Tamandua tetradactyla: one gene and its partner. The protein of the gene in region 2 purifies or fractionates together with the protein of the main gene of each other region. This does not show direct contact. Links are inferred from orthologs where the notes say so. Each region holds a gene or a part of one and is shown on either strand. Other genes may lie near its edges. The genes, in order: OGT and ASXL2.

Evidence for each region.
Region 1: the proteins of ASXL2 (region 2) and OGT purify together in Homo sapiens (affinity purification with mass spectrometry; 3 studies listed by BioGRID and IntAct, with this or other methods). This does not show direct contact. The link is inferred for Tamandua tetradactyla from reciprocal best matches to the Homo sapiens genes ASXL2 and OGT.

What each region holds. Positions count from the first base shown.
Region 1 is NC_135353.1:99,921,096-99,930,966, forward strand, and holds the start of OGT (UDP-N-acetylglucosamine--peptide N-acetylglucosaminyltransferase 110 kDa subunit), read right to left. Parts: upstream 3,841-9,871; 5' UTR 3,616-3,840; coding exon 3,579-3,615; intron 664-3,578; coding exon 483-663; intron 1-482. UniProt on the Homo sapiens protein: Catalyzes the transfer of a single N-acetylglucosamine from UDP-GlcNAc to a serine or threonine residue in cytoplasmic and nuclear proteins resulting in their modification with a beta-linked N-acetylglucosamine (O-GlcNAc).
Region 2 is NC_135329.1:9,591,467-9,602,102, reverse strand, and holds the start of ASXL2 (putative Polycomb group protein ASXL2), read left to right. Parts: upstream 1-5,922; 5' UTR 5,923-6,206; coding exon 6,207-6,263; intron 6,264-10,636.

The DNA of each region.
Region 1 (9,871 bases), on a different chromosome or scaffold from region 2:
AGAGAGACAATTTATTAGAAAAGACAAGGTCACAAAATGCTTCCTTTTGATTAATTCAACTGATGAGCTAAAAGTAACATCTTGTAAAGCAGTAATGGCACTGTTTGCAACTTGAGGCACAATGTATCTCCTACCACAGTATATACACCATCACTTCTGAGCATTTTAATCCCTTGGCTAACATATTTTACACTAAGAATAATTTATTACCTGAATACAGTTAAGAAAGCTGTAGACTCAGGTGGTAAAGTTTAGAAAAGGTACCTATTCATACAGATAATATAACCACCACCACAAAAAGAGGCAGAAAAACTGGCAGCTGGACTGCCACACGTCACAAGTAGGCAAAAGAGCAGATGTGTGTTGGTGGCTCACTTGAAACCCAATACTGGAAAAACTTCAAGTTCAAATATTTAAGTATCATTTCTCAAGCTCAGCACCCAGAGGCAGCAATCACCAGCAGGTATCCCAACATCTCCTACCTGTCCAGCCTTCGACACTGGAAGTGTATAGATGAAAGTAATAAAAGCACACCAGTATTGTCAGGCTCTTGTCTCCAGAGCTGCATGCAGTGTCTTTCAGCTGCCTCAAAATCTCCTGCCTGATATTCTCGATGTGCCAACTCAGCTAACCCTTGGAAGGAAAGCATACGTTTCGTTGGTTCTGGAGAATCATCAAAACATTTGAGGGAGGGAGGGGGGAAACAAAAAGTTAGAAATGCAAACAAAAAAATGTAAAAATATGGTATATTAAACTTAAAGATGAAAAATGCTTGAAACTATGTAAAGCACTAGAGTGTTCTGCATGTTATTTGTACCCCCAAGTTAACAGGTGCAGAATTGGCATTTTCAGAATTCATCCATTAATACTTTCTTTCCCAAACTAGATAGGAATATTTACTTTCAAACTATATTACATTTTTTGAACAAGAGTACAAAAATATTTTTTGTACTCTTAAATTATAAACTCATTTATAACATTATAAATGTTAAATGTAGGTAACATTTAAAGAGTAACTAAACATTATTCCTTATACCTTAGTTAACATATAGAAACAAAGTATAAAACGTGATTTTGAAAGGTGATAAAGATTTAGTAATGTCAGAACAACCATCTGAGAAACAATACTTTCCATCATGTTTTAGGTTGGATTTGGTAGGCGTAAAGGAGTGGATAACTGGTAACCATCTAACCTAGGTGGGGACTCAGATATTTATTTTGTTTTTACTCTTTATATTGATGTGTTTGTTTAGTTCATAATATATATATTTTTAAGCAAGGGCAACACTAGAAAGAAGCAAAAGGAAAAAACTCAAAGTCAGGTGCTATTTTTAAAATAGCTGATAAACAAGATAAATCCATCTGTCAAGAGCTAAAATATTTTAAAGGGGTCATAAACATTTTAAATAAAGACCCAGAGTTACATTACTCCTCTACCAACCCAAACTCACAAAGATACTAAGTTAGCGAAATCCCACCCACACTGGTTTAACACTAGCATTTTCCAAAGTGCTGTGGCACTGACTAAAGAATCAAGGTATTGTAAACAATTCTATATAAACCAGGCAGTTACCTACAACTATAATAATTTTAAAAAAATGGGAAAATACTAAAATATATAACATTTGTTAAAGCTCAACAGAATAAACAATAAATAAAAGCCTTTGCTGTATGCAGGTGACTTAATTTAGGTACAAAGATAAGAATATAGTTAAGGCCTAGAGAGAGAAAAACAAACAAGGCCTAAGTCTTCATTGTAAATACTTATTTAAACAGTGATGATATATTATCGGAAATTTGACCATAGCACTCCCACAAACATGCATAGATTGTTGGATTGGGAAACTAAGGAAATTACCTAAACTCCACCAAGGACACAGAGACAAACTCAAATTGGAGTCTCACTTCTCGATCATTAAAGTGTGTTCTGGATACTAAGGAAAGCAAAGTAAATTTCCTGACAGAATGTACCGCTGACCATGTATACGTAAAAGCAGAGAGACCTGTATCGAAATGGGGAGACTTTCTCTTCAAGAGCACAGAAAATTACATTTTAGAGAAGTCTCTAGACCTTCCTAGCTCCTTAATTTAATGCATTACTTTATCACTTTTCCAAGTGGCTCCTCTGCTAACTTTAACACTTGAAATGACGACTACCTCAAATAAAACACACAAAAAAAGGCAAGCAAGTGCAGAATCTTTTATCTTTAAAAATCACTGTGGGGAGGAGGGGTAGAACAGTGACTATTTATTAATCTCACTACCTATAATTATGGATAACAGGGAATTGAAGATCCATTTATCATTTACCGTCCAATGTCCAAAAATAATAAAAACCCTCTACACATATCAACCGAGAAATATCAAAAAATAACCTCGTGGGAAATATCAGGACCGCGGCCCAATCCTCTCCTCCTTCCTCCTCCCCAAATAGCCCCTATGGGGAAAGGCAGCCGAAGCGAAACTCCTACAATTTGGATGTTTTGTAAATTTTGAACACAAAATGCTCTCGACTCGATTATCTAAACGGGCAACCGCCTGGCACTTGTGCAGCTACACTCCAGTGGCTTTACAAACTCTTCAAGCAGGGATGAAAACTTAAAATATATATTAAAAAAAAGAGAGAGAGAGATCCACCCTGTGAATAAGGAGATGCGAGGCTAAAGAATGGGGATGGAAGACCCAGAAGGCGGCGGCGGAGGAATACAAGGAGAAAGTCACAACAAAGCGAGATTCCCGAACGCAGTGCGGTCAACACCAAAGCAATAGCACCGGGGTGGTTTCTGCCCCAAGGATAGAAACTGGACCGCAGGGCTGGCAACGTCGCGAAGGGAAGGGTGTGGTTCCCTGCGGGAGGGGAGCGGAGGGGGCACTGGATGGCAAGGCAGGCTGTGGGGGTGGGGGGGCAGCGTGCGGATTTGGGCGATTGCAGAGAACGCCTGGAAATTTCCAATCCAGACCGGGCCCCCACTCGACCGAAAGCAGACTAGAAAGGCGCAGCTGCCTCAGCGGGGTGCTGCTTACTCAAGGTCCCGTTTTCTCGAGGTTCCTTGTAAGCACATCGGCGAGCTTTCGCTCGTCCTTGGGTGCTGCAAAATGGGGATGCGTTTACATCGGAATGGCACCCCTGCCGTAGACTGACAACCCAAATCGGGTTAAGGGCTTGAAAGGGTTGGAAAGGGCCGTGGAGAGGGAAGAGCAGCGAGCGGTGAGCTGGAATGAGGGCAGAAAATGGTTGGGAAGGACAGTGAAAGGGCAGGGATTCCAACGCAGTCCGTTCCGAGACATCCTTACAGCGCACTGGTGGGAGAAGTGTCCCGAGAGTGTAGAAGGCTAGAACATTTATGGGATTGAAAAGGGGAACAAGGAAGCAGAAAACAAGCGAGAAAGGAAGGAGGAAGAAATGCTTAAGGAGGAGAAGACGGAGGAAAAACCCATCAGATGCCGGTAGACCACGACAAGCTAACGCAATACCACTGATGCAACGAGGGTGGCTAGAAGGGAGGGAAGGAGGAGAGGGGGGAAACAGCACGAGACCCCGAAGGGGCGTCTGCCAAGGTAGAACGGGACACTGGTACCTGTGCTGTCGGCCACGTTGCCCACGGAAGACGCCATCTGGAGCTTCTTGGGGGAGGGCGAGGAGGGGTAAGTGGGTCCCGCTGCCGCCGCTACTAGCAAGAATGTTTCTGGAGGTAGTGGTAAGAGGGCAACAACAGTACCAGTACTTTGGAAGGCTTAAACAGCGGCAGCAGTTACAGACTTCGAACCTTAGGAACTATAGTTAGCTATCTACCTCTCACAGTCTTGAAATGGCGGCTACTGCTCCTCGGCCGAAACAACACGGGCCGGAACTACTTTCTGTTACAATCAAGTACCAGTGCGGAGGTAGCGCGGTAACCAGCGCTACAGACAAAATGACTATAATCAAAGTCGCTTGCTATTGTGTAACCTTCCGCGCAGGGCCCATTGCGACAAACACGATTGCGTCGACAGCGCATGCGAGCAACCCTGTCAACCTGACTCGGGCTGGCTAGGGCACCGTCTAGGGCAGGAGCGTCCAAGTTTTGTTTTGTTCGTTTCGTTTGGTTTGGTTTCGTTTTGTTTTTAAATAGTGAAGCAGAAGGTTTAAAAAGCGCATCCATTTTTGCCAAAGTGAAAAGTGCCAAGTGTAACCTGTTACCTAGCCAATAATGTAGATTTTAATAGAAATGTCAAAGGAGGCTTAAAAAGTTTACATCAGCTTTATTCATACGAAAATGAATACTTACAAGGCTGAGAATTACTAGTCGTGCATCGATTCCAAACAAATAAAATTGTGATTGAATTTTTGAAGATTGAACTGTTCGTCAAAACGTTGGGGGAAGCTTTTCCAATTTGAACACGTCATAATTCTGACTCCAGCAATTGATTCAAACGTTTTGATGAAAAAAGACTGATACATTCGCATGGCCAAATGAACCCAAACATCTCAGATTTTGGCTATATAGCCCGAAATTTCCAAATAGTTTTGATATTCAGAATAGTTCTGCCTACAGCAATAGGGTAGATAATTAACTCAGGGACAACCTTACAGTTCGCACCCCAAAGGCAGCCATAAAATGTTAAATATGATTCCTACTTAAATATGATTCCTACCGTTCAAAATCTGACTCTCTTCTGAGTTGTGACTTCATTTCCACAAAATAGGTCTGCAAATCCTCACAATCTGTGATTGCATTGCGCTTGATGCAATTCAGAAATGATAAATGAATTCACTTGCCATTTATCTGCACCACACATGTAATTTGAGTCTGAATTACCTCCACTTCCATAAGCAAATGAGCTCTTACAAATCCTCCTGAGTCTCAAGTCCACTGATTAGATATTTTGTAACATTAGTATTCATTTATACCTCATAGTTTGTTCTAGAAAGGATTTAAGGTAGCTTTTCCTATCAGCAAGAAACTATTATAAGCCACTGGAGGTAACAAGTTGAGTCTCTGTGCCATTTTGTTTAGTCCTTGATCTAAGAAAACAGGTCAGTGAATTTCTTCAAAAAGTTTCTACTACGTTAAAAAAGAAAGAAAGTCCTTGAGCAACGCTTCAATTTCTTCCAGACAGTCCACAAACTGTTAATTATGGATATGAGCACAGAGAATAATTCTCAGCCCTGTAAGTATCATAATGTTGGTAATTTCTTCCATCCCGTAATCAAGAGTAACATCACGCAGTAAAAAAGACAAAGTTCACTGCACAAACTCTCCTAGAAATTGGGCTTTTGTTGATGGTGCTTCCCCTCCCACTACCAGTGCCCCATATGTGGTGAATAAACTCAGCTTTTCAACTTTTAAACCAGACTTCTCAAATTCCACTGGCAGATGTTTAGGCCTTACTGATTAGTGGGTGCTAGCCAATTAAGCCAAACTCTTATTGTTGTTAAATGCCAGGTCATGCTCCCAATCATTTGGCCCATCCATACTTGTGGTTTAAAGTTCCCTATCCTGAGAGAAGAGTCCGAAGATGTTATGATACGTTTTGCTACCATGCAAAACTGGAAGGTGGGGCTCACAGTGGCTCACTAGAGAAAATCCCCTGATGAAAACATCTTTCTTAGGGCTCCAGAAATCAGTTAAAGGATTGTAGTAACATGCAGTAACAGGGTAAGCATGGAATCAAGAAAAGGGCCACTTAAAAAGCGGTTGGATATCCTCTTTCCCTGGCTGGAACCTCCCCCTACCCCTCACTGGCTAAGCAGCGGAGTTGGTGGGCCATTCGCTCAGTGTGAATCCGAGTCCCAGTTCTTGAGAGAGAGGGCGGCCCGCCCCGGTGCACATGCTGGGAGCATGTCTGTTTTGTTTCAGTCTATCTGGTGGTGGTCTGAGCGTCTCAGTGCTCCAGAACTTGCGCTGTGTGTAGAAGGCAGCTCACAGAGCTCTCCCACAGATTGCTGTGGGAAAACAGTCAAATCCTGCTGCCTGAGGCAAGGGATCACGGGCTGTAGGACAGACAATGTAGTCCCGGACCCTGAGGAAACTGTTTCATAGGGGAGAGGGGACATTCCTAACCCAGTAAACAAGGGAATTCCTAGGGCCATACGTGCATGCCCCAGACAAGACACAGGTGCAGAAAGAGTCTGTAAGGCCCCTATGCTTTAGCCTTCAGCTATTCCCATACATCCCATTGTATAGATAAACCCCAAAGGAAGGCACTTGCACAGGTCAATCTGCAAAGTCTGGGAAAGGTGTTTTCTTTTTTTCCTTCTTCCCCCTCCCCCTGCTTTTTTTTTTTTGTTAGGTCCTGCCATTCAAGGAAAACTCAGTCATAACACTAGTTGGATAAAATTTGAAGGAGCAGATGCCTAGAGTTTAAATTTCAGAGATAACACATTAAAATATCAAATGTCCAAGTTTCAGAAAAGATTACAAAACATAAAAGAAACAGCAAGCAATGGCCCAGGTAAAGAAGATTAAAGCATTAGATACCATCAGTGAGGAGGACCAGACCTGGGACACACCAGACAAAAACTTTTTAAAAATGGTCCCAAATATTCTCAAAGACCTAAAGGCAAACATGAACAAGGAACTAAAGGAAATCAGGAAAGCAATAGGGGAACACAAAAAATATCAATATAGAGATGGAAATTATGAAAACGCATCAATCCAGAGCAGAAGACCATAATAACAGAAGTTTAAAAATTTCTAGAAGGGTTCAACAGATTGGAGCTGGCAGAAGAAATAATCAGGGAATTTAATGATAAGACAATGGAAATCATCCAGTCTGAGGAGCAGAAGGAAGAAAGAATGAAGAAAAACAAACAGAGCCTGAGGAACCTGTGGGGCACCATCAGGCATACTAACTATGCATTGTGGAAATCCCAGAGGGAGAAAAGAGAAAGGGACAATGAGAATATTTCAGGAAGTAATAGCTGCAAACTTCAAATTTAACAAAAGACATAAATATACACATCCAAAAAGCTCAACAAATTCTAAACATGATAAACCCCTGCTGAGACATACTATAATCAAACTGTTGAATGCCAACGATAAAAAGAGTATTTTGAAAGCCACAAAAGAGAAGCAACAAGTCATGGTACAAGGGAGCCTCAATAAGATTAAGTGCAAATTTCTCATTGGAAACCATGGAGGCAAGAAGGCAGTGGGGTGACATGTTTAAAGTGCTGAAAGCAAAAAATATTGCCAACCAAGAATTTTGTATCTGGCAAAGCTGTCTTTCAGAAATAAGAGAGATGTGCTGGTTTGAAAGGATGTATGTACCCTAGAAAAGCCATGTTTTAATCAAAATCCCATTTCGTAGATGCAGAAAAATCCCTGTTCAATACTGTTTGTAATTATATCATCTCCCTGGAGATGTAAACTAATCAAGAGTGGTTGTTAAACTGGATTAGGGGAGATGTGTCTCCACCCATTTGAGTGGGTCTTGATTGGTTTACTGGAGTCCTATAAAAGAGGAAGCATTTTGGAGAATAAGAGAGTCAGAGAGAGCAGAGCAGAATGACATAGCCACGAGAAGCAGAGAGCCCACAAGCCAGCGGCCTTTGGAGATGAAGAAGGAAAATGCCTCCCAGGGAGCTTCATGACACAGGAAGCCCAGAGAGAAAGCTAGCAGATAATGCCTTGCTCACCATGTGCCCTTCCAGCCGAGAGAGAAACTGTGACTGTGTTCTCCATGAGCTTCATCGGCCTTCTTGAACCAAGGTGTCTTTCTCTGGATGTCTTTGATTGGACATTTCTGTAGACTTGCTTTAATTGGGACATTACCTCGGCCTTAGAACAGTAAACTAACAACTTATAAAATTCCTCTTTTTAGAAGCCATTCTGTTTCTGGTATATTGCATTCTGGCAGCTAGCAAACTAGAACAGGAGGGATTAACTCATTCCCAGACAAACAGAAGCTGAGGGAATTCATCACCACCAGACAGGCCCTACAAAAGATGCTAAAAGAGTTCTATAGGTTGAAAGGAAAAGATAATGGACCATAGATTGAAGCCACAGGAAGAAATAAAGATCTCCAGTGAGGGTAATAACATGAGTAAATATAAATTCTAGTACTATTTTATTTTTGGTTTGTAACTTCGCTTTTTACTTCCTACAGGATCTGAAAGGCAGATGCATAAAAGGTAATGATTAATCAGTGGTTTTGGACTCATAACATATAAAAATGTAGCTTGTGACAAGAACTACATAAAAGTGGAGGTACAGAAGAGTATAGGAACATAGTTTGCATGTACTATTGAAGTTGTCAGTATCAAAGCAAACAAGATTGATATAGATTTAGGATGTTAAATTTAAGCCCCATGGTAACTACAAAGAAAATATTGGAGAATATGTAAACTCATAGAAACAGAAATTAGCATACAGATTGCCAAGGTGAGGTGAAGGGTAGGGAGAATGGAGAGTTGATGTATAATGGGTGTAGGATTTCTGTTTGGGGAGATGGGAAATTCTAGTAACGAAAGGTGGTAAGGGTACTGCAATATTGTGATTATGATTAATCTCAATGAATGTATGTGTGGTAGTTGCTGAGATGGGAAAGTTTATGTTGTATAGATGATCCCACAAAAAAAAAGGAAAAAAGAAAGAGCAACTAAAGTGACAATGACAATTAAATGCAATACATTATCCTGAATGGGATCTAACAAGGGAGGAGAAAAAATGTCAATGGGACATTATTGGGACACATGAAAAAATTGGAATAAAGAGTATAAGCTTTTTATCAGTGTTAAATTGCTTAAACTTGATACATGTATGTAAGGTGGTGACATAAATGAGTATCCTTGTTCTTAAGGAATATACATGGAAGTAAAGTGTTCAATGAACATGATGTATACAACTTACATTCAAGTGTTCATAAAAAAATCTATCTATCATAAATAAATAGATAGATAGCATAATATGGCAAATGTGGCAAAAAAGTTAAAATTGGTGGATCTGGGTATGGGGGGGGAGCAGTACGGATATATTACCTGAATGGGGTATGTAGTATTTTTGCAACTGTCCTATAAGTTTAAATGTATTTCAAAATTGAAAGTAAGAAGCAAAAACAAAAAGAAAACCCCTTGTCAGAGTCTCAGGAACCCAATTCTAGGTACTTTCCAGGAATAACTTCTGGGGGGGTTAGTTTGAAAAACATACTAATCAAGCCCACCCTCACTCAAATAACACTAGAGCCTCTATGTACAAAGCACTTGTGGGGGATTCAAAAAAGAACGAGACCAAGTTCTCACCCTCAAGGAATTTGAAGCTTAGTTAAGTAGATAGAAAAAGCCACTAGAGAACAATACAGTAGAGTATTAAGTGATAAAATATGTTACCATCTATAAAATACCTGAGGAGGAAACAATCACTTCAGGTTGGTGGGGCTGATGGAAAAGGCCTGGGTCAGGCATTGAAGGAGGTGTTTTGTTTTGTTTTGTGTGTTTTGTTTTCTTTTTCACACTGATTTCTGATTTTTTTCTCCCTTTTACATGCAGCAATTCTAAATTTAGAGTCATCCATAAATAAATCAGATGCCTCTTCAACGCCAATCTCAAATATTGCCACCCTGAAAACACCTTTAATGGTCTATCACTGTTTTCTTTTGCTGCATAACAAATTAACAGAGACTTAGTACCTTAAAATAACATGCATTTATTATCTCAGTTTCCACAGATCCTGAGTCCAGGCACAGGTTAACTGGGTCCTTTGCTCAGGGTTTCAATGGCTGGGATCAAGATGTCAGCAAAGCTCTGATTTCATCTGAGGCTCAGTCTCCTCTTCCAAGCTGATGTAGTTGTGGCAGGATTTAATTCCTTGTGGTTGTAGGGCCAAGGTCCCCATTCCTTGCTGGCTGTCAGCTGGGGTCTGTTCTCAGCACCTAGAGGTTACCCATGTTC
Region 2 (10,636 bases):
ATAATGAACGTGATAGGCGCAGGCCCTGCCCCCACTGCTTTGCCATCTTTCACTCCTTTCTGGTTTTGGTTCAGTATTTGGCTCGTGATTGAAAGATACTAAATCTGTTTAATTGAATTGGATTTATTTAATTGACTATTTTTAATTAAATTGGATTTCAAGGTCATAGTGCTAGTGTATGGCAGACATTGTCCTTAAAGGAACTGATTCTTGAGAAGTTCCTCAGTTTTCATATTCTCATATAAATTGTCTGGTATATAGCAGACATTCAACAGTCAGTTCCTTTCTTTCCTTTCCTTCTAGGTTCCTCCTGGGCTGGTCACCAAGTAATCTAAATTTTGTTGAATAGGTGAGAAATGGTAATGGCTAGGTATTCATAAGTTCTGTAGGAGAGAAGAAGGGTTGACAAGGTTGCCCTCTTTTCTGACCACGTATAATGTATATGATACTGGGGTGCACGGGTGGTTCAGTGCCAGAATGCTCACCTTCCAAGTGAGAGACCTGGGTTTGATGCCCAGATCACACACACCCCTGAAAAAAAATGAAATGATTAATATATATGATACTACAGCTGCCATTTATTGATGGCTTCCAATGTATGAGTCACTATTCCAAGTACTACTGCATGTATCACCTCATTCACACCTCATAGTAACCCTAGTAGATGAAACTGAGGCTTAAAGAGGTTGAGCAACTTGCCCAAGTTCCTATGAGTAGAAAGTACTTAGGTGGGGGGAATTGTAGCCTTCCCAGTCTGATGCTAGCACCTCTTCCTCTGTGCAGGTGCCTCTCTTGACCTGTATACATTCAGAATCTGTGATTTTGAATGGGATCCCACAGCCTGGCTCCTGGTCATGACCTAGCCCATATCTGAACTACATATTTGTTTTACTCAAAACGAGTTGCTGACTCTTCTAAGGTAGAAAGGGTTCTTTGCAGTTAATTTACCATCAAGTGGCTGATTGGTCCTGTTGAGGATGGTGTCCAATCAGGGGTTCAGCTTTTGACTTTCTTGCTGGTGGGCTGGACATCCAGTAGTAACAATAAGTAGATCAGCCTTGGTGAGTGGGGGGCCAGGCTGTTGTACACATTCACAGCCTCCATTCCTGCCATGATGGCTACCATGTTCATGGATGAATTGGGCAAGCCCTGGAGTGGCCATTGATAAAGGTTGACTGATGTCAACTGACAGAATCATTGTGTCCACTTATTTTCTTAGTGCTTCATCCCTAATGGATACTTTCTAGTGAGCATTAACATTTGATATAAAGCCCTAGCTGCAAGAGAGATTGGAGTTTTCAATTTCTAAAGTAGATGGGAAATTTCCAAATAGAGGAAGGGGGCTCAGATACTAGTAGCTAAAAAGAATGTCTATCCTCCCCTCTTTTTTTTTTTCTTTTCCATCAAATGGGATCATAGTATGCATATGATTCTAAACCTTGTCTTTTTTATATTAATATTTATTAGCTGCCTTTCTACTAATGAGTAATAAAGTGTGTACTAGGATGTTCATCTCAGCATTGTTTATAATAGAAAAATTGGGAAAACATGGAGATTAGTTAAAATTGTTGTCCATTATTCACACAGGAATATATAGCTATTTTTAATGCAGTTTTATTGAGACATTCACATAACGTATAATCCTTCTAAAGTATACACAGTATCATCACATAGTTGTGCATGCATCACCACAATCAATTTTAGAACATTTTCATTACTCAACAATCAAACAAACAAACAAACAAACAAGAAACATCCCATGTCCCTCGTCCCCCCCATATTACTGACCCCCAGCATGGGTGTGGTACATTTGTTATTGTTGATGAAAGAATATTAAAATATTACTGTTAAATATAGGTCATAGTTTACAATAAGTGCATTTCCCCACATGCTTCTCCTTTATTAACTCCTTATAAAAATGATGTACATTTGTTCTCAGTCATGAAAGAACATTTTTATATGTGTGCTGTTAATTACAGTCATCAACCACCACAGGGTTCACTGGGTAATAGAGTCCCATGTTTTAACCTCTAGCTTTCCTTCTAGTGGCATACACTTCCCCATTCCACCACAATCCCATGCACATAATTCAGCGCTGTTTATTACGTTTACCATAATGTGCTTATTATGTGTTTATTACTCTCACCATAATGTACTACCATCACCTGTGTCCATTTCCAAACATTTACATTCAACCTAGTTAGAAATGCTGCACACATTAAGCATCTACTCCCTTTCTTTAGCCTCATTCTATCTCCTGGTGACCTATATCCTAGATTTAATCTCTATGAATTAATATATTATGATATTTTATATAGCTATTTAAAATTATACTATATGTTGGAATCTGAGGTGTCAACCAGTCCAATCTGCCCAAATTTAGAAAAAAAAACAACTGAGAGATATCTACAGGAGGCAAGCAGGTGGAAATGAAGATGTCACCTTCATAACGAAAAAACCATTGAAGATAAAATGGGTGGTGAGGGTCAAACGTGCTTGCTAGAACTTAAGATAACCCATCTGAGTGAAAGTCTGAGTCTCCAAAGGAGACATCTTTAATAAGGTTCAGTAACTCACACTGTCCCAGGGTGAAGGAGAAAAAGCAAAGGAAGTGAATTCTTTGTGCTGATGGCCTTTTAATAGATTTGCTTTGACAATGAAGAAACTAGACCTATGATTGCCACTCCCAATCATTGCTTTTCAGGTTAGGGCATGTGTAAGGGGTAGAGCAAGAAGCCAGGACAACTCCTCTAAAACATGGAAATATGAGGTGTGTTGTATTAACATCTCCCCTGACATTACAGGTTCATATTTCTCAAAATGGAAATAGAGTCTGTAATATATTTTAAGTATAAAAATATGATTACATAGCATGCATAATATACTTTTCTTTTTATAGAAAGATGTATGTGTATTTAAATATATATATAATTGTGTCATCCTATACATGCTATTTTATTGTAAGCAAAATATGAAAATGATCTGGGTGATGTCTAGGTAGTGGAATTAAAATTTTCTTTTTTATAATTTGTAACAGACCCTATTCTGCCTTGCCCAGACCCCCTTCTGTTGCACGTATCCTTCAGCTGCTGTAAGTACTGGTAACTAGGTGTTCGCAGCTGCAACCTTCTCCAGAGAGTTGCCCTTGGTCACCAAGAGGCATCCTTCCTGGAAATGTTTGGGTTGCAATGAACCCTGTCCCTCGAGAAGAGAGCCTCCATTTAAGACTGTTTGCTAAGAGGAGACAAAAGCTCAGTCTTTTACTTCAAAGTTGAGTAATTCTGTGGGACCATTTAGGCTCAAGAGCTCCTGGTGATATCAGGCTGGGGCTGGACATCTTTGCTTAGCTTCTTTCCTTGTCTCTCATGCTTCCTTCACATCCTTACATATTTCTCCTGAGAGCATGCTGATAAATTACTTGCACAAGGAGTTGAGATTCAGTACCTGCTTCTGTACAACCAACATATATCTGTGGGATTTTTACAATGAGAAATCTTATAAACAGGGAACTCACTATTTTTATTATTATTATTTTTAAGTGCCTTTCTTGCTTTTTGTGTGTGTGTGTGCTTGGGCAGGCTGTGGGACTCGTACCCGGGTCTCTGGCAGGCGAGAATTTTACCACTGAGCTACCATCACACCGCCTCAGGGGTCACATTTCATTGTTTTTCCCTGTGAGTATCCTGTTACTGCTGCACTATTTGTTGAAGTTTTGCTTTTTTTTTGTTTGTTTTTGGGAAGTGCATGGACTGGGAATCTAACCTGGGTTTCCTGCATGGCAGGCGAGAATTCTACCACTGAACTACCCTCACACTCTCTGACTTCGTTCCTTTTTATGGCTGAATAATACTCCATTGTACAGATATACCACATTTTTGAACCTGCTGGTGGACACTTGGGTTGCTTCCATCTTTTGGGTATCGTAAATAATGCTACCATGAACACTGGTATACAAATATTTGTTCAAGTCCCTGTTTTCAACTCTTTGGGGTATATATTTAGAAGAGGAATTGTTAGGTCATATGGCAACTCTATGTTCAACCTTCTGAAGAATTGCCAAACTGTTTTCCATAGCGGCTGCACCATTTTACACTTAGGTGGAATTTTAAGAAGATAAATCTGGCATCCTTTGAAGGAGGGGCTTGAGTATAGATAAAACATTTAGGAAATTACAGAACTGGAGTGGAAATGATAGAAGAGATGCAACAGGCATAAAATCTGCATGAACAGTCATGGGACTAAAACACTCTTTAGGCAATTATAATTTAATTAAAAAATAAATAATTAAAAAACCCATTCATACTTGTGGAAGATAAAAAAGTAGGTAACGCAATATTGCAATCCTTATCTCCTTTTGAAATTAAAATCTGGGAATAAAACTCCAAAATGCAAAGTAAAGACAGTGGGAGTATCTGGCTGTAGGGACTAAATACAAGTGGGGTAGAGCTGCCATGCCCAGGCAGTAGGGGTGTAAGGTAAGCCCTAGCCAATAACTGGGAGATGGAGAAGGGCTGCTTGAACTGACTTTAGGTCCAGGCTTTGTAGTGGGATGGTAATCACTGTGAGTGTTATGGGTAGTACTGAATTACTAAAGGAATTTATGAAACTATAGCCATATCAATTGCTGAAATGGGGCCGTCTGATCAATGACTAAAGGGGAAATATAAAGAAGATAGCATCTCCAACTCCCACTTAAAATTTTTTTTTCTGTGTAACAAGGCCCCTTTTGAAAAGAAAAAGAAAACCTATGAATCTTCTTCTCAAAAAATGCACATATTAATTTACACACAAAATACCGCCTACGATTTTAGGCGGTTCACCAACTCCTAAAACCCATCCATGAACTCTAAGTTACATATTTTTCTAACCTGCCACTCCTCCAAAGAGGCAGTACTGTGTCCTCAGTTCTATTTCAGTATATAGATTAATTTACTAGACTGTTCCGGGCAGCCTCTGGAACTAGGTGGGTTTGGCAGATCAGTAATTGTCACAGTTTTACTTTGCAAAGTATAAAGACGTGGAAATGGCATGGGAAATGCCACATTCTGGATCTTTCAGAAGGCTGCTACGGACACTACAAATAATGGTTTCTGACGGCAAAATTGAATCACTCGGCAAATATTTGCAGAGCACCTGATATTACAGGCAGTATGCTAGGGACTGGGTTCACATTAGGTAAATGTGACACTGTTTCTATCCTGGATGAGACAATGTACATGTGAAAGCGTGAATGTAATTACTGCCAGTTTTTTTTTTTTTTTTTTAAAGCAGTCTTATTTGGTGGATATGGTTTAAAGAACAAATAGAAAAAAAAGCAATTGACCACATAATACGTCTATTTCCGGAGTCTGTTATGTTTCTTTTTTTTAAAAAAACAACAACATTCTAGAGAGTCAGAAAGGACTTGCAATTTGTTTTTTGGCCTCACATTGTGGACAGGCGCGTATGCCAAGTCACTGGATCTCTCGGTTGCCTCATCAGTCAAACGTAGCTAACACGTAGATGAAAATTGTCGGAAATCTTCAAAATCATTATCTTTATAAAAATGCACTGTAAAATGTGACTAAAAAACAAAAGTACAGGGCTTACTGAAAGTGACAGGCTACCCTAACGGGATGTCTCCAAACTCTTCCACGTCCCCACAACCTGGCACGCGGTAGGGATCTTCCCAATGAGCCTCCACCAACCGATCAAGTTCCGCTTCCGCAGGCCGATTTCGTGATAGGCGTGAGCGTCAGACGCCCGACGCACAGGAGCGTCGGACTCCCTTTTACGCGCATGCTCCTGAAGAGAGGCGGAGACCTGAACGGTTGGGGAGTGGCCAGGCGCCGCGGCCGGCCGGCTCTCCTGCTCCCTCTGCATCCTCCAGCGGGAGGCGGGGGCGCGCGCGGGCTCGTTCGCGCGGCTGGCTGCGTACAGTAGGGACGGCCGCGCGGGAGCGGTCACATGACCGCAGCGGCTGCCTGTACAGTAAGGGCCCAACATGGCAGCGACGGTAGCAGTGGCAACGGCAGCAGGAGGACCGGTCGCCCCATAACCCACCCCGCGCGCCACCCGCGCCGCCTCTGCTTGGGTGCTTCTCCGGCCTGACTTCCCCTTTTTCCCACCTTTCCCGGCATCGCGGGAAAAGCAGCGCAGGGCAGAGAAGGCAGGGAGGGCGGCCGGAGCCCGGACACGGGAGCCACCCAGTCAGTTCAGGACCCGACATGAGGGAAAAGGGCCGTAGGAAGAAGGGCAGGACCTGGGCGGAGGCCGCCAAGACGGTAAGGGGGAGGGAGCGAAAGGGAAGGCCGGGAGGATTTCGTTTCCTTGCCACCCGCTAGTCGCACGGGAAGGGAGGTCACTGTCGCAGCGACCCGGCTGAAGGGGTACAAAACCTCGCGGAGAGGGCGACGGTTAGTGTTGAGGTTGTGATCCCTGTGAAATGGAGGCGCAGCGTAAGGGGGTCGCCGCGGGCTTGTGGTTTGCTCCCAGCGTCAGCGGCATGTCCTTTAGGTGTTCTGAGGCAGTCTGTCGGGGTCAAGTTGTTATCGCCCCGACTCTGGTCGCCCCTGCCCGGCATGGGGAAGTCTGTTGTGCTTACATAGTAACCCGTTTTTCTCCCTTGTGCGGCTCAAAGAGTCCCCATTGGATGCAGATAGGAGAACGCTTGTGCGTGCATTCAGCCCCGGAAAGAGGAGGGGAACGCTTGGAGCCTGATAGAATTTACCGGCTAAAGCAGACTTGCTGCCTAACCTCGGGTCCCCGGTTTATCTGGGCTCTGAGATCCGGCGTGCCATCACGAGGTTTTGTTTTTGTTGCCGTTTGAGCTGAAAGTGCAGGAGGTGTTTAGAAACGAAGTAACAGGTGGGACTTGTAGAATTTTTTTTTTTTCTGTTTCCGTAGAGACCTACTCTGAACAAGGCAGCAATGCATGGTGGGACGTGTAGTTTACTCGGCCTTCACTTTTCCGTAGTGATGGTGGGCCAATGAAGTTGTATTAATTAGTGGGTAAAACTTTGCAAATTTTGTCATCGAATTTTAGAGGTAGGTTTTCAAACATGGAATATTAAGGATTAGTGAGAACTTTTACATCTAAGAAAAAAGTAAAAAGCTTGTATATGTGTAGGAATGAGAATGAAGTTCACTCCGTTCTTGAGTGTGCAACAGAAAAATAATAGAACAGTAAACAGCATTTCAGTGTTGGGAAGTGAGAAGGTGCGGGAGCATTATTTTCTTTCGGGGGATCATTATTTTTAATTATGAATTATACCAGTAATACCTGGACAACTTGCAGAGTCCTTCTTAATGAGACTTTTTTGTACGTTGTGTGGTTTGTTTTTTGAATGAGTTTTTTTTTTTTTTAATATAAAAGCAGTATGTATTCAATTTGGAAAGTTATGGAAAAATATAAAGAAGAAAATAAAATCACTTTTTTCAGCCGTCAGCTACATCTGCTAGCGTTTTGGTTTATTATCTTCTAGTTTTAAAAATGTATTTCCCCAAATCTAGGTTTAAAAATGTATTTCCCCAAATTTGTGCATTGTCTTGTAAACTTTGTGCATTAGGGGGTTGATGAGTCTTAAACTTGTGTTTTTGTTTTAGTTGGCAATATGAAAAAGTTAGTGAAAAAATAATAGTCCTTTTTAAATTAATTGTTTTCACTTACAATATCTCTTCATAATTGTGACTCTTTTGGTAGTTTCTCTCTAAAAGATAAAACTATAGAAATAATTTTTGATGTGGCAGGGAGCTTGCTTCTCCACAAAAGACTATTTTACCTGTACTTGAGGGAGACCTCAAGAATCTTCTTTTTTTTTTTTAATTGATATATATTTTTTATTAATTAAAAAAATTAACTAACACAACATTTAGAAATCATTCCATTCTGCATATGCAATCAGTAATTCTTAATATCATCACATAGATGTATGATCATCATTTCTTAGTACATTTTCATCGATTTAGAAAAAGAAATAGCAAGACAACAGAAAAAGAAATAAAATGATAATAGAGAGAGAAAAATAAAAATAAAAAATACAAAAAATATATATAAAAAACAAAACAAACAAAAAAAACTATAGCTCAGATGCAGCTTCATTCAGTGTTTTAACATAATTACATTACAATTAGGTAGTATTGTGCTGTCCATTTTTGAGTTTTTGTATCCAGTCCTGTTGCACAGTCTGTATCCCTTCAGCTCCAATTACCCATTATCTTACCCTATTTCTAACTCCTTATGGTCTCTGTTACCAATGACATATTCCAAGTTTATTCTCTAATGTCGGTTCACATCATTGGGACCATACAGTATTTGTCCTTTAGTTTTTGGCTAATCTCACTCAGCATAATGTTCTCTAGGTCCATCCATGTTATTACATGCTTCGTAAGTTTATTCTGTCTTAAAGCTGCATAATATTCCATCGTATGTATATATCTACTTCTTAGATATCTATGTATCTACTTCTTATTTTATACTGTTCTTGGTACCTGCATTGTACGCTAACCTGTTTTAAGGGCATATTAAAACAGGGTGGTGTTTCTGACCAGTAATATAGCAACAAATAATTGAATTTGTTTAAATAAGATAGATACTGTGTATATGTGAGTATGTTTCGTATGTGAGAGAGATACATGGGTTTATGTAAAGAATCTTCTTCATGCTATTAAAAGAAGCATGTCAAATTTTAATTATAGGTAAGCAGACTCCACCCTAATTATGCTATTTATGTTGTCTCTAGACTTCTAGAGTATTTTTTTGATTAATCTAATGATTGTAAAATTGTGACAAATAGTAAAAACTAGTCTGCATGTGTTAAAATTTTCCTACAGTTAGCTCATTTGCACATTTGTAATTGACATTTCATGCCCTAGTTAGCCATGTGAAAAATATTAGTTAAAAGGTAGAAAGGCTAGTTTGATCAGTGAAGTTCTGAAAGAATTTATTGTGGCTTGGCATTTTTATTTGATTCTGGCAAATATAAAAGATCTCAATATAAATAAAAGTGAAGTTTAGAAAGAAGATGATGATGCTAAAACTTGTCTTTTTCCCCCCCTTTCTAGAGAATACCCTCTTTTTTGGGTTGTTTGATCATGTGTAAAATGAGATTAACTTAACCTCAGGGTTTAGAAGAATTCTGTTTGTAGGAGGAATAGATAAAAGTAAGTGTAGACAGAAGCATATCTTTAATATTTCAGACTGCAGAATGAGATCAGAAAATTGACAAACGAAAGTAACTTTGACCTAAATTAAGAAGTGATGCAGATATTTAGAAGATCAAGAGGACTAGGAGAGTGGGTTAAATTTATTTCAAGGGCATTAAAGGCAAGTGTTCTAGGAACAGTTTCAGCAAGGAAATAATAAAATTATTTACAAATATAGGCAGTATCTACTTCTTATTTTATACTATTCTTGGTACCTGCATTGTACGCTAACCTGTTTTAAGGGCATATTAAAACAGGGTGATGTTTCTGACCAGTAATATAGCAACAAATAATTGAATTTGTTTAAATAAGATAGATACTGTGTATATGTGAGTATGTTTCGTATGTGAGAGAGATACATGGGTTTATGTAAAGTTTATAAGCAATTTTAAAAATTAAAATAATGACTTGTAATTATTTATGAATTCTATAGTATGTGTTAATTATGCCAAAAGACTGAAAAAACGTACTTAAATGTAGACTACAGATTAGTTTCAGTAACTAAGAAAACCAAAAAAAGAAATAATGAAGCTGATATTCAACTGGGCTTGAATGCTCATTGACTATTGGACTGTAGCTTTATTGATCGTAAATTTAACTTGTTTAAATACTCTAGTAATAAAAAGCATTATTCAGGTATTTAGTTAATAGTTTCATGTGTGTTAAAATTTAAGGGCAGCAGTGGTGGTGGTGGTGGTGATGATGAAATGATTAGGATGAGAAAGGTGTAGTGTAGTGTTTAGTTTTTTATTCTGAAAAATTTGTGTAAGCCGGAGATATAGAGAACCATTACATTGACTCTAGAACCATGTTCAAAGTTGGCCTAATTCTTTAATAAAAAAAAAAGACATTGTATTATCTAAATATTTGATGACATCTCTGAGGATTTTAGCAGTGTTTGCAAAGCAGAAACTTTGAAATAGCACGATCTTGATTCTGTTTTCCTTTTTCACTTTTCCCTCCTCACTTATCAACAGTTATGGAAGACTTTGTGTGTGTTTATGTTTATGTGTATATGTGAGTGTGTGTAGGTAGAAAGGCAGACTTTGGAAATTGTAAACTTAAGATATATTTGTTCACTGTTATAGAAATCAGGAAAAAAGGTGGTCGGAATATGAAAAGTGAAATATGTGGCACACAATCCGTAGGATAGATCTCTCACAGATGACTTGTAGACCAAAGAAAAAGGTTGATTTTTGTATTGTTTTATATTCTATCTATAGACTATTCACTCAATAATGAATACTACGTCAAATGTTTTCATTGTAGCAGGATGCATAACGAAATTTCCCATTTTAACAACTTTCATCTGTATAGTTCAATGATGTTAGTTGCATTCATAGTATTGTGCTACCATCTCTTCCATCCATTACCAAAACTTTTTCATCATCCTGAACAGAAACTCTGTACTCAACAAACATTCCCAGTCCCTCTAGCCCCTAGTAATCTATAA